Linked DNA regions of Drosophila melanogaster. The protein of the gene in region 2 purifies or fractionates together with the protein of the main gene of each other region. This does not show direct contact. Each region holds a gene or a part of one and is shown on either strand. Other genes may lie near its edges.

Region 1 (3,757 bases), on a different chromosome or scaffold from region 2:
ATATTCCACGATTGGTACTGTATTTTTTTTTGTTTTTGTTTTTGGGGCAATTAACTTGTACAAATTGCTTTTGATCTAGTACAAATGCCCAGGAGTTCCATAAATACCCAGCAACGGGGCTGCCTTTGCTTTTTATGCTCGACTAACTATGTACAACATGGCTGGGCATTTTTTTGTTTATGGCTATGGACCAGACATTGAATATGATCACTGATTTCCACATCTCCACAACTGGCCATGTTTGCGCCCGTGCCTGGCTGTTGCCCATTCCGGCGCTCTGTTTATCTCTCGAGTTTCGATCCGTACCATATACATATATCCGATCTGATCCGATCCGGTCCGCACCGATCATCTCTATTTATTTTCATATGTCGGCGCACAGTTTATATTGCATACTTCATAGGTGGTCGCGACGATCGATCGATGCATGGATACGATTCACTTGATTCACTCTGGTGATTCACTGACTCACCTCGCGCCTTGATTATGGTTTCGTATCGCATTAATCGCACATTTGGCCGATTTATGAATTATGCATTATGAATTATTCTGGAGCACTAGAGTTCTGTGGGGTGAGGTCATGTGTGTGGGTGCGGTGGGAAAATGTGAAAAACTATTTGTATCTGGCAGTCAATGTGCGTGTAGTTTTATGAGCTAAACAAATCGCCGAGCGAATTATTTGGTTATATGCATCTGGAAATCCGGTCCAGATATCAAGGAAGTCTTGCCACACACACACGACTGGGCCATCTGCGATCATTATTTCATTCACTTTTTAATCAGGCTACAAGTACTTTATTGTTTAGCTAAACAAGACAAAAAGACGCAAATGTTTTGGCAATAGAATGTTAATTGAATGAATGAATTAAAAGTAATCAATAGTAAGATTCTCACAATTGTTTCATTCAGCCTTTCCAGCAGATGTATATAGTTCATATATATCATTAAAACTTGTCGGACGATTAATATATATGTATATACCTTGTAGTAAAATTACTAGAATGTCTAAAGTTGAATTAGATGTTTATAATACTGCTATTGAAACAATTAAACTTAGTCCGTTTATTTAGAGTAACTCGTTACGTAAATATTATTTCTTTTGCATATCTTGATTAAGGTCATAAAAACTTTCGAATAAAAGTGCTCAAGTATTGTATATTTTCCGAATACCTCGCTGTTTGTTTTTCGGTTTCGATGAACATTAATTATACCATTGTTTATTTGGGTATATCACTTTTAGTTCGTTTTTAACAAGGCGCAACACAATTGAACATACCACTGATCATATTTTTAGACCTGATATGAATGAATGATTTTTTAAAAAGTTAATCCGCGATCAATGTTAAATGGAATATCCCATATCATATCATATCATATCATTAGATTCTTAACCCTTTTTTTCGCCATGCTTACAGGTCTTGAGTCCCTGGTAGGGCAGGGAGGGGGGCGGCGGGATGTGAACGGCGTGCTGCGAGGACTGGTGCTGCGGAGTGAGTGGGAAGGTCTCCGTGGAGGAGGAGGCCTGTATGCCACCCGATCCTGGCGATCCGACATGCAGGCGGGCGCGGTGCTGATGCGGCGAGGCAGGATGCATTGCAGCAGGACACGTTCTCGGATCGTATTGGATGGGAGGGATGCGATTTCCACTCCACGGGTATCAGACGTTAACTGGTCGAACTGGAGAACTGCACGCGTCCAGCGCACGTTTTGAAATGAGCACGCCAAGAACGAACACAAAGCCAAACGCAGAGGCGAAGACAGGAAGTATAAAACTATTCCACATACCAATCGGTGTCCCGACTGCTAGATACCATGTAAAAGTGCACTCTAATTTTGCATTTTCATATTTCATGCAAAGTGGAAATTCGAATTGGAATCAATCTCTTTGAAGTTTCCTTTCATATATTCTGAATATATACCAAAATCGTATAACAAAAATAATCTATAATCTTAATTTTTCTTTTAACAAGAACATTCAATTCACAATGGCATACTCAAAACGAAGCACCAATTATTATTTAAAATAAAAGTTTAATTATTAACTAATTATTATGTTGCATTGATCAATAAATTATTTGAATATTTAATATGAATAATTCCCTAACGTTTTTATATTTTTAATTAATTGCTGCTAAAACTTCTCAAATCTTTGATATATTACCAAATTGGTTAACGAATGTTTCATAAATGCATTATACCCTCTGGGTCCTACACTTTATTGGGTATCATAAACTGTATCCTAGACAGAGGTGAAAACGCTGGCAGCGGCAATCGTTCGGCTCATTTCACACATTTTCGTGGCCGAACGATTTTCCCGCTTTTCCGAATTTCCCGGCACACACTAACACGCACGCGGAATGGATCGTTTTGTTGGCAGTTTAGTTCTTTTTGTTTAAATTATTGAAACGATCCACGAACAACTTCGCAGATGGAGATCATTTATAAACCACTTCATCGAGAGCATTCGGCAGTTCCTCGCTTGTCTTCCATTATTTCATAGCTTGGTTGGAGGTTGCCCATTTGTAGGTGGGTGGGTTGGTGGCTGCATGGAGGCAGTTCCTCGTTCCCCATTTGTCTAAATCAAGACGCGAGGAACAGGCGCTGGTGATCTATTATCACCAAAGGTCACAGCTCCGGACGCACATCAATTGGTAGCCTCGAATCTCCAGGGAAATCTGGCCACTGGAGTCGATTGCGTGTTCCCAACCATAAAGCATAAATGAAGACATTAATGGGTTAACCAGAAGATTTAGTGCATGATATTTGAATTTGAACGGGGCTGGCAAGCATAAATCATGATTTACACTACCAAAATGAGTTTGGAAAAAAATTATTAAGGAATTAATTGAATTTGGGTTCTATTCGACTAACTACAATCCTGTATTATTTGTTATTTAAAATATCACATATATATATCTGTTTTTATCTAATTTCCTTTTAATTGATTGCTAACATTTCAATGAATTATTCAAAACCAAGTAATTAGCGTGACATTCAAGACTGCGGTTGTTTGCATTTTACAGAATAAGCAATTAGTTTTGTTTTAAAACGAGGAAAAACGATATCATAGAGGCACAAGTAGTGCCCGAGGCTCTTAATAAATAAACTTCATTTCCAAATATATCTTTTTTTTTTTAGCCTTGTTGCTTTATTGTAGTTGTTAAATTAATAACAATAAGAAATATGTATATATATATATATATATATTCATATTTATGTATATACACATGGTATGCAATAAATTTGCTTGTTTCAGGCCGATTGCTTGTGTTTTTGGTTTCTGCTGGTTTTTTTTTTTGAGTGAGTGCTGCTGCTTGGTTGCGTAAAGTAAATGCGAAGAAATCACCTCGAAGACCCGGCGATGGAGAATATCATGTGTAAAGGTGTATATAGAGCTGGTTCGTAAGGCACATTACGGCTAGATTGTGGATGCATCAAGTGATTGCTAATTGCGCTGATGTTGATGTTGATGGTTGATGGTTGAGAGTCCGCAGCCTTCGATGTACAGCAGCAGCCTAAGTAGATATATGTATATATAGGGTACATATAAGTGCCGGTATCAATTTTTGATTGCTAACAAATGCTTGACAATAATCCAAATGCTTAAACTTAAGAGTCCACTCGAATTTAGTGTTGAAAATCAGTTGGCTTTAAATTCAATTTGGCCGCTCGGAAGGGTATCCTAGCCACGCTGCAAAGCGAATCCCTTTCTCCTCCTCCTCTAATTGACTGAGCAATATCATAGTTTCGTTTCGTT
Region 2 (3,757 bases):
AATTGCAATTACTTTATGTGTTTGAAATGGGAGGCACCCATTGAGTCCATCAAAGAGCAAAGACATGAGCACAAAAATTTTCTTGGGTATTCCCTTTTACCCTTCATTTCTTATACCCGTCACGCTTCCACCCATACAAATTTTAGGCGTACAAAAAATGACCAGAGAACTGCAGCCCGCATACAAAAAATGACCTGCGGCCGATCGTTGACTGTGCGTCCACTCACCCATACGGCTCTTGCGCAGCAGGCCTCGGGTGGTTTTTTTACTCGTAACAAAAACACAACGTCGGTAAAACACTCGAGTATTTTGTGTTGCCGCAAGTAGGGTGTCAAAAAAAACGGGGTGCCTAGAGTACCGAGTGTTTATCGGGTGGACGTAGAGTGCGAGTGGCGGGCTGCAGTTCTCTGGTTTCAACGCTTAAATGACCCTGAATATTCGGCGATGTGAATGTAAACATTTAAACAGCTGATTGCGAAGAGAAAGGTTCTGCAAAAGCAAAAGAAATATAGAAAGAAATAGAGATGGAAAGAGAGCAATAACCAGCTGAGGGTACAGTTGTAACTGCCTATGAGTGATGGTCTAAAAATTTTAATTCGTGAATTTACTATTTATATATATTAATAAATATTGAATTTCCCAAATGTAAAGGCAATGTGCATGTTTCTGCTAACCAATCTTTACTGCTCTTCGTACGTTTCTACAATTAAATAACACAAACGTAACGTAAGGCGGTTACGTTACGTGGCCACGATGTATTTGGGAGTCTGGTACATTTCGTAGGCGAATTCCTCGCGGTGACTGGGATCGTACTCCAAACCCACATAGTCTATTTCCAGGCCAAACGGGCCATCCATTCCCTTCTTTGCGGCAACGGAGAATCCGAAGTGGGTTACCCTGTTCAGCGGTATGGCGCCCTGGCGATCCTGGACACGTCCCTTGGAAGACAGGAAGAACTTGGAGAAGGGAATCTTCGCTATCTGCCAGTGGGGACCTCCGCGCGTGTACAGAACATAGTGGTAGATGTCGTTCCACATCAGGTCGAAGTAGCCTTCGGTATGCAGGTTGATCAGGTAGCTGCGTCCATCGCCTCGCACCTTCATGACCAGCATGTTGTACTGCGTCCAGTCATAGGTGGTCTCGCGCTTAAAGGATTTCTGAGGATAATGAGGCTTAGTATCGTTACATCCAATTTGAAATCAACAATAAACTCACCCGCACTCTCTTCGTGCGAATGTTCGCATATCCCGTCCTTTTGATAATGCCATCCTTGGTGTGATCCGAGTTGACTTGGCCATGGAAGAGTCCAGCACCGGCTGCACTTAGTTCCAGAGTCGCAGTACTCTTGCCCTCGCCGTGATCCGCATCGGTGGTCACCGTCCACTTGTCCAGCACATCCGGCGCCTTGAAATCGAACACCACATCCGTTTCACCCGGCCGGAAGACCAGGATGGGATCACTTTCGAACTGCTCCTTGACTTCCTGGCGCCACAGCTTCATCTCCTCCTTGAGGTCCCTCAAGCCGTCCATGATCATCTGCTTCTTCGAGGGTTCCGGCAGCTTGGTCTTGTAGCCGGACTTTTTCTCGCGCTCCCAGAATGTCCTGTGCACGGCGGTGGTGTGGATTTGCTGCTGGACAGCCGGAAGGCAGCAGCCCAGGCGGAGTCCTTGTCGCAGGAGACTATTCATCGTGGCATTGGTTTAGGTTGAAGTAAATCTTATTTCTCTAGCAGCCTGTGCAGCAAAACAACGTAACAATAATCAGCTGGCCCAGTTGCCATTCTCAGCGAAACAGCAGTGCACAGTAGATATTCGATAGAAGATAAGCACAGTTGAAATGTAATAATGAAAGTCAAACTTACATACTTTGCCCACTTGATGTTACAATAATTATTACTTCCCATGTGGCTCACTTTTGTATTCTTCCTTACACTTAGAATTCATTTTCTTTCCTCTTAACTAAGCTCCCCTGTGCCTTATTCGCAGTGAATGACAATCCCGGTTTTGTTGTCATTGCTAATCATTTTGCATTCGGCTTGGAGTTCAAAGGTTTGATCATCGAATCGCGTCGGTTTGGGAAAATGAAGGTGCAGGACATGGACAAATGTGCTCCCAGCAGCGACTGGAACGTTCTTTACTGGGTGCTGGGCACGGTCCTGATGCCGGTGGCACTTCCACTGGCCATCATCAACATTTGGCAGCGATTCCAGGCCCAGAAATTCCGCAATCAATTGCCCGGCAAGGTGACGAGTTTAACTTAATGACTGATTAGCCCGGTAATTATGTAAACCATTTGCAGGTGGTGCTCATCACGGGGGCCAGTTCGGGCCTGGGCGAATCTCTGGCCCACGTCTTCTACCGCGCTGGATGCAGGGTTATTTTGGCGGCACGTCGCACTCAGGAATTGGAGCGGGTTAAGAAGGACCTCCTCGCATTGGATGTGGTAAGTTCGGGACCCGTAGGTTATGTGGTTCGCATTATAATGCACTAACCATTTCAGGATCCCGCTTATCCGCCGACAGTGCTTCCCCTGGATCTGGCTGAACTGAACTCCATTCCAGAATTTGTCACCCGGGTGCTGGCCGTGTACAACCAAGTGGACATACTCATCAACAACGGAGGGATCAGTGTGCGAGCCGATGTGGCATCCACGGCAGTGGATGTGGATCTCAAGGTGATGGTGGTTAACTACTTTGGCAGCGTTGCCCTGACCAAAGGTAACTAATAAACCCTTTATCCCGGAAAGTCAACTTACTCTTGTACGCATTCTTAGCTCTACTTCCTTCGATGGTGAAACGTGGTAGTGGTCACATATGCTTCATTAGCTCTGTTCAGGGAAAGTTTGCCATTCCCCAAAGGGCTGCCTATTCCGCCTCGAAACATGCCATGCAGGCTTTTGCCGATTCCCTGCGAGCCGAGGTGGCAAATAAGAACATAAACGTGTCCTGCGTGAGTCCTGGCTACATACGCACCCAGCTGTCCTTGAATGCATTGACAGGATCGGGAAGCAGTTACGGCAGTAAGTGATTTACCCTTTATATTCATATGAAAGCTAATTTCTATCTCCATGTCTGCAGAAGTGGATGAAACCACGGCCAAGGGCATGTCACCGGATAAACTTGCAGAACGCATTCTGCAGTGCATTCTTCGCAAAGAACCGGACATTATTGTCAGCGATGTCCAGGCCAAGATCGCCTACTATCTTCGTCATCTTTGCCCGAGTCTCTACTTTTGGATCATGGCCAAGCGCGCCGTCAAACTGGAGAATGCTGAGAAAAAGTCCACTTGAGCTTAGAGTATGTTAAGTCACACGTCCTTAAGTATTAGTTTCATTTTTATTGTTAATTGAATTTCGCTTAAAATGAGGAAATTATAAAGTATCGCATATGTGTGTGTTTGGGTTAAAAATTAGTTACACTCGTGTTATTGCCTAACGATAAGATTAATAAATAATGTATTGTAGTAATCGTAACATAAAGTACAACTGAATTGTCACACATGTGCTTGTTGTTCGCTCGTCTTTAAAAATGTTAATCGTAAAATTCTAGTATTCACTTCTTTGCTCTTCGGTTTTTGTTTTGTTCGATACACTTAATTTCGTTTGTGTTTCATTCGATTTCTTAAAGACATTTACGCGTTCTTTTCTTAATTGACAAAATTACATATTATTCATTTAGGTTCTTGGATGGGTGATGCGGTCTTGGGCAACATTTAAAACTGGCCATTAACTAGGGGTAGACGATGGTTTCGTGGGGAG
Region 3 (3,757 bases), about 24 Mb from region 2:
TCTCAGTTTAGTTTGGCGACATGCCTGTCATTACACAGTATTATTGACGATCAGAAATTGAAGAACTTTGCTTTAACACTCAAATTGCATTTCAATCCTTATTTATAGTAGTGTGTAAACAGTGACAGAAGGTTGTAAATAGTTTGGGGCAGTTCTCAAACGTTCAGCACCCGGCCAGACGCCTTAAAGCATGGCACTGTGCGGTTCGATGAATAAAATTCAAAATTAACGTACTGGCAAAAATGAAACGGTTTCGAAATTTGTAGAAAAGTGAACTAATTATCAACTAGGCGAGGAAGTAACCATCCGTGGACGCAAACATAAACTGATGTACGCATATTTTCATGTGTAAATATATATATAAAACGTTTCTAACAAACACGAGGCACGTCGAAATGTAAGTGAGCAAAAATGAAGTGATCTCTAGGTTGGTTTTCAGTTTTTATTCCGACTCGGGGAAATTTGGTGGCTTCAGTTGCTTCTTGTCTTTAGTTGACCTCACAAGGCTGCGTATGTGTGTATATATGTATGTCTATGTGTATAGGTGTACATGTGTATATGGATAAGAGTCTATTTAATCAATTTGAAAACGGTATCAACTAACTTTCAACTAACAATAACCTTACCGCCGACGCTTCGCTCAGTTTCGACCATATGTTTCCCTTCCTGTATGACTAAGTGTGCGATACCTTAACAGCTGCATAACTTTAGTTTACCATAGTTTCATTACGCTTTTGTGCACTAGTGTTTTGAGTTAGTTTCAAGTTTCCAAATTATTTACAACTAGCCCTGCATTCCGGCGTTTACTAGTTTGGCGAGTATTTAGATTACTGGAACTTGCGCGTGGCAGTTCTGGCCTTCCAGGCCTTGACCAGGTTGTAGGCGAAGTACAGCGTAAATCCGTGCACCTGGAAGCCCACAAAGCAGAAGGCATACCAGAAGACGCCGTACGGATAACCCTGTAGAAAAACCGAGGTTTAGTAGGGCGGCTCTTGAGGGATTAACTGGCCCAGCCACTTACGCGCCACACAAAGATGTCTGTCTCGTCCAGCTCCACCGACTTGTCCAGCGTGGCGAACTCCCACACGTCCGAGAAGTAGTAGGCGAAGCAGTAGAAGAGTGGCAGGATGGCGAATAGCAGTATGGCCACCATATACTTCTGCATTTCGCGCACCTTGTTGCCCCTGGCGGCCGAAAGGCCCAGGAAGGAGGTGAGCAACGACGCGGCCCACACGTACTCCCACCACAGGGGCGGTGGGACCTCCAGCTCCTCGATCTCCAGCACAAAGATATCCAGGTGGTCCAGAATGTCCGACGTCAGCTTGGCCAGCATCACGAAGAACAGCAGGGCGTGAAAGAAGATGCAGTACTTCAACCTGGACTTGTTCAGCAGGCTAAAAGAGCAGAGAAAGTGGTCGTTCAGTGGCGGATCTGTGTGGGTGAGCCCCATATTGGGGCGCACATGCTGCCCAGCTGGCACTTTGCCCACCCGCCCCCTACAGCAGCAAGTGGGTGGGTGCAGCAGCTCCAGGGTGCTCCGCCGCCCTGGCTGGACGCCACCTGCGATTCGGCTGCAGTAGGTGCCGCCTGCAGGTGGATCTACTGCCACAGGCGCCCCAGTAATTAGATAATTTCGAGTGTAGCTGAGAGCTGGCGATAGCACGAAGTGTTATTAACCTAATTTGATATGTGCCAGCTACGCGCTGCCTGAACTCGAAGTCGTTGCCATCGGTGCCCGCGACCATTGGTCCGCCGCGCGTTGCCATTTCGTTGCCTTCGTTCGTGGGTCGTGTCGTTCGCTCACGTCGTTGCTTATTTTTAATAAATAATTGCACAAAAAATAGGGCTGGCACTAGAATCGATGTGTGTGCGATACCATCGCTGCCACCAAAAAACTGGCGCACATCGATACGCTCCTCGCTACCATCGATTACTTTCGCTTGAAAGCATAGCAAATAACCGTTAGAAAGAGAGGGGAAATTCCGCTAAGTTTTAGAATGTTCATTTTCAGAAAGTCTGCCATGGAAACTATTAATACATCTGCATGGAAACTGTTTACAAAACATTAATTAAATTAAATAATTAGCCTTTTAACTGTATTAGCAACACGTGATTAGTCATATTATTTAATTATTTTAACTTATTCTATTACAGTTATTAAACAGTTATTAGTTTTAATAAAGTGGCAATGTGGTCGTGGTGACTAGCTCCGCTTAGGGAAATTTTAATTGGGAGGATGACTTCGCTAGGTGTGTAACCTCGCTAATGCTGTGTAGAATAAATGTGTTATACTTACATACGTAGAACTTCAGTTTTTCTCTAGTTAGTTTCGGCAGAATGTAGATAGATATTCGAACTAGTCGCAAATGAGAACGATTTTTTAAAGGTAATGCTGAGAGTTTAGCATTGCTAATCTGAAAAGTGGGCTGGTGAAAAATAAAACCAAACCTATTCTTAATGGCATTAATGGCACTTAATACTTTAATTTTCATATCTTTTTTGCACGATTTTAGAAAATGAGGGCTGGTTTTAATACTCCGATTGAAATCTTCCATCCATATGAGAATTATTTCTACTAAAAGTACAAACGCTAGACTAAAATGAATTGAATTGCATTCCAATTCCAATATGTCTTATAGACCAAATGGCAGAACTAGTAAGATTTAGTAATGATTAATGATTAATGAACGGGTCGCGATGAAAAATATTACTCGTAGATTAAAAAAGAAGTATTCTAGATTCCTTTTTCAACGAATATGTATCAGGTGAAAGGAAGTGTTTTTCGAGCCAATAAAGCATATATTGGTAAGGAACACTAGCCGAATCGAACTGGCCATGTCCGTCCGTATGCACGTCGAGATCTCAGGAACTACATATATAAGAGAGATTAATTTAGTTTTATTGCTATGTCAGAAAATGTTGAAATTCATGTTTGAACTTTCACTAGCAGAGAAAGGAGTATCTAATAGTCGGGGAACTCGCCTGTAGCGTTCCCTCTTGTTTTAGTTTCTCCGTACCTTGTTTTTGAATTTGAACTGCAGTTCCAATTTTTCGAAGCCAATAATGCCTAGTGCGTCAAGCCGAAATTATCATAATTGGGTGCAAGTGCTCTTTGATGGGATTATGCAAATTGGATGCAGCTTTGTGTCCCAATCAGTTTTCCAGATTGGAAGCAGTGGGTGTGTCCGGCGGACTTTCGGCGCTCTGTCAACTGGCCAGCACCTGTTGCACCGAAATCCATAAATCAATCTGCCACGAAACAAGAAACAAGCGAGGAAAAGCCAATCTGCGAAAATAGAGAGGGCGACGACGTTTAAAAATAAAATAATGAATTTCCCATTTCAACGCACTCTCTTTATGCTCGCTACGCTACAAAAGTCGAGCATTCGGCCCGGGTGTGTCATCAGTTCTACGGCGGTATTCCTCCGACTTGGACGCGTTTTCATCGCATGCGATCGTCTCCGGCCGAAAGTCGCGTCTTTCCCGCTCCGATTTTAATGTCAGTTGTTGATAATTTCCGCTCGAATATTTATGCTGAGCTCGGTGGCTGACACTTTCGAGTCCAAAGTTGAAGTTGCGCCATAATTGCGATTCGGTCCATAAGGTAATAGACCAGAATAGTACCATCACAATGAGTGGCACTTGCATATTAATTGCATTTCATCGCCGAGTCTTTCTTTGTTTTCGCCAAAAATGAAAACACATACGCGGCAGATTTCATGACTTTTGGGGCCGGGACCTCCACCTCGAATGTTGC

What was found.
Region 1: the proteins of CG7601 (region 2) and CG33253 purify together in Drosophila melanogaster (affinity purification with mass spectrometry, with the first as the bait; one large-scale study listed by BioGRID). This does not show direct contact.
Region 3: the proteins of CG7601 (region 2) and jagn purify together in Drosophila melanogaster (affinity purification with mass spectrometry, with the first as the bait; one large-scale study listed by BioGRID). This does not show direct contact.

What each region holds. Positions count from the first base shown.
Region 1 is NC_004354.4:19,181,382-19,185,138, reverse strand, and holds the start of CG33253 (uncharacterized protein), read right to left. Parts: upstream 1,719-3,757; 5' UTR 1,595-1,718; coding exon 1,414-1,594; intron 674-1,413; exon of another isoform or gene 1-673.
Region 2 is NT_033777.3:29,734,976-29,738,732, reverse strand, and holds CG7601 (uncharacterized protein), read left to right. Parts: upstream 1-1,987; 5' UTR 1,988-2,081; coding exon 2,082-2,243; intron 2,244-2,299; coding exon 2,300-2,443; intron 2,444-2,500; coding exon 2,501-2,717; intron 2,718-2,773; coding exon 2,774-3,019; intron 3,020-3,077; coding exon 3,078-3,289; 3' UTR 3,290-3,464; downstream 3,465-3,757. Other genes in the region: CIA30 (complex I intermediate-associated protein, 30 kDa), read right to left, coding at 741-1,157, 1,216-1,689. UniProt on the Drosophila melanogaster protein: Putative oxidoreductase.
Region 3 is NT_033777.3:5,777,437-5,781,193, reverse strand, and holds the start of jagn (jagunal), read right to left. Parts: upstream 1,880-3,757; 5' UTR 1,767-1,879; coding exon 1,678-1,766; intron 1,395-1,677; coding exon 1,022-1,394; intron 960-1,021; coding exon 828-959; 3' UTR 1-827. UniProt on the Drosophila melanogaster protein: Required for endoplasmic reticulum organization and proper vesicular traffic during vitellogenesis. Required for oocyte and bristle growth.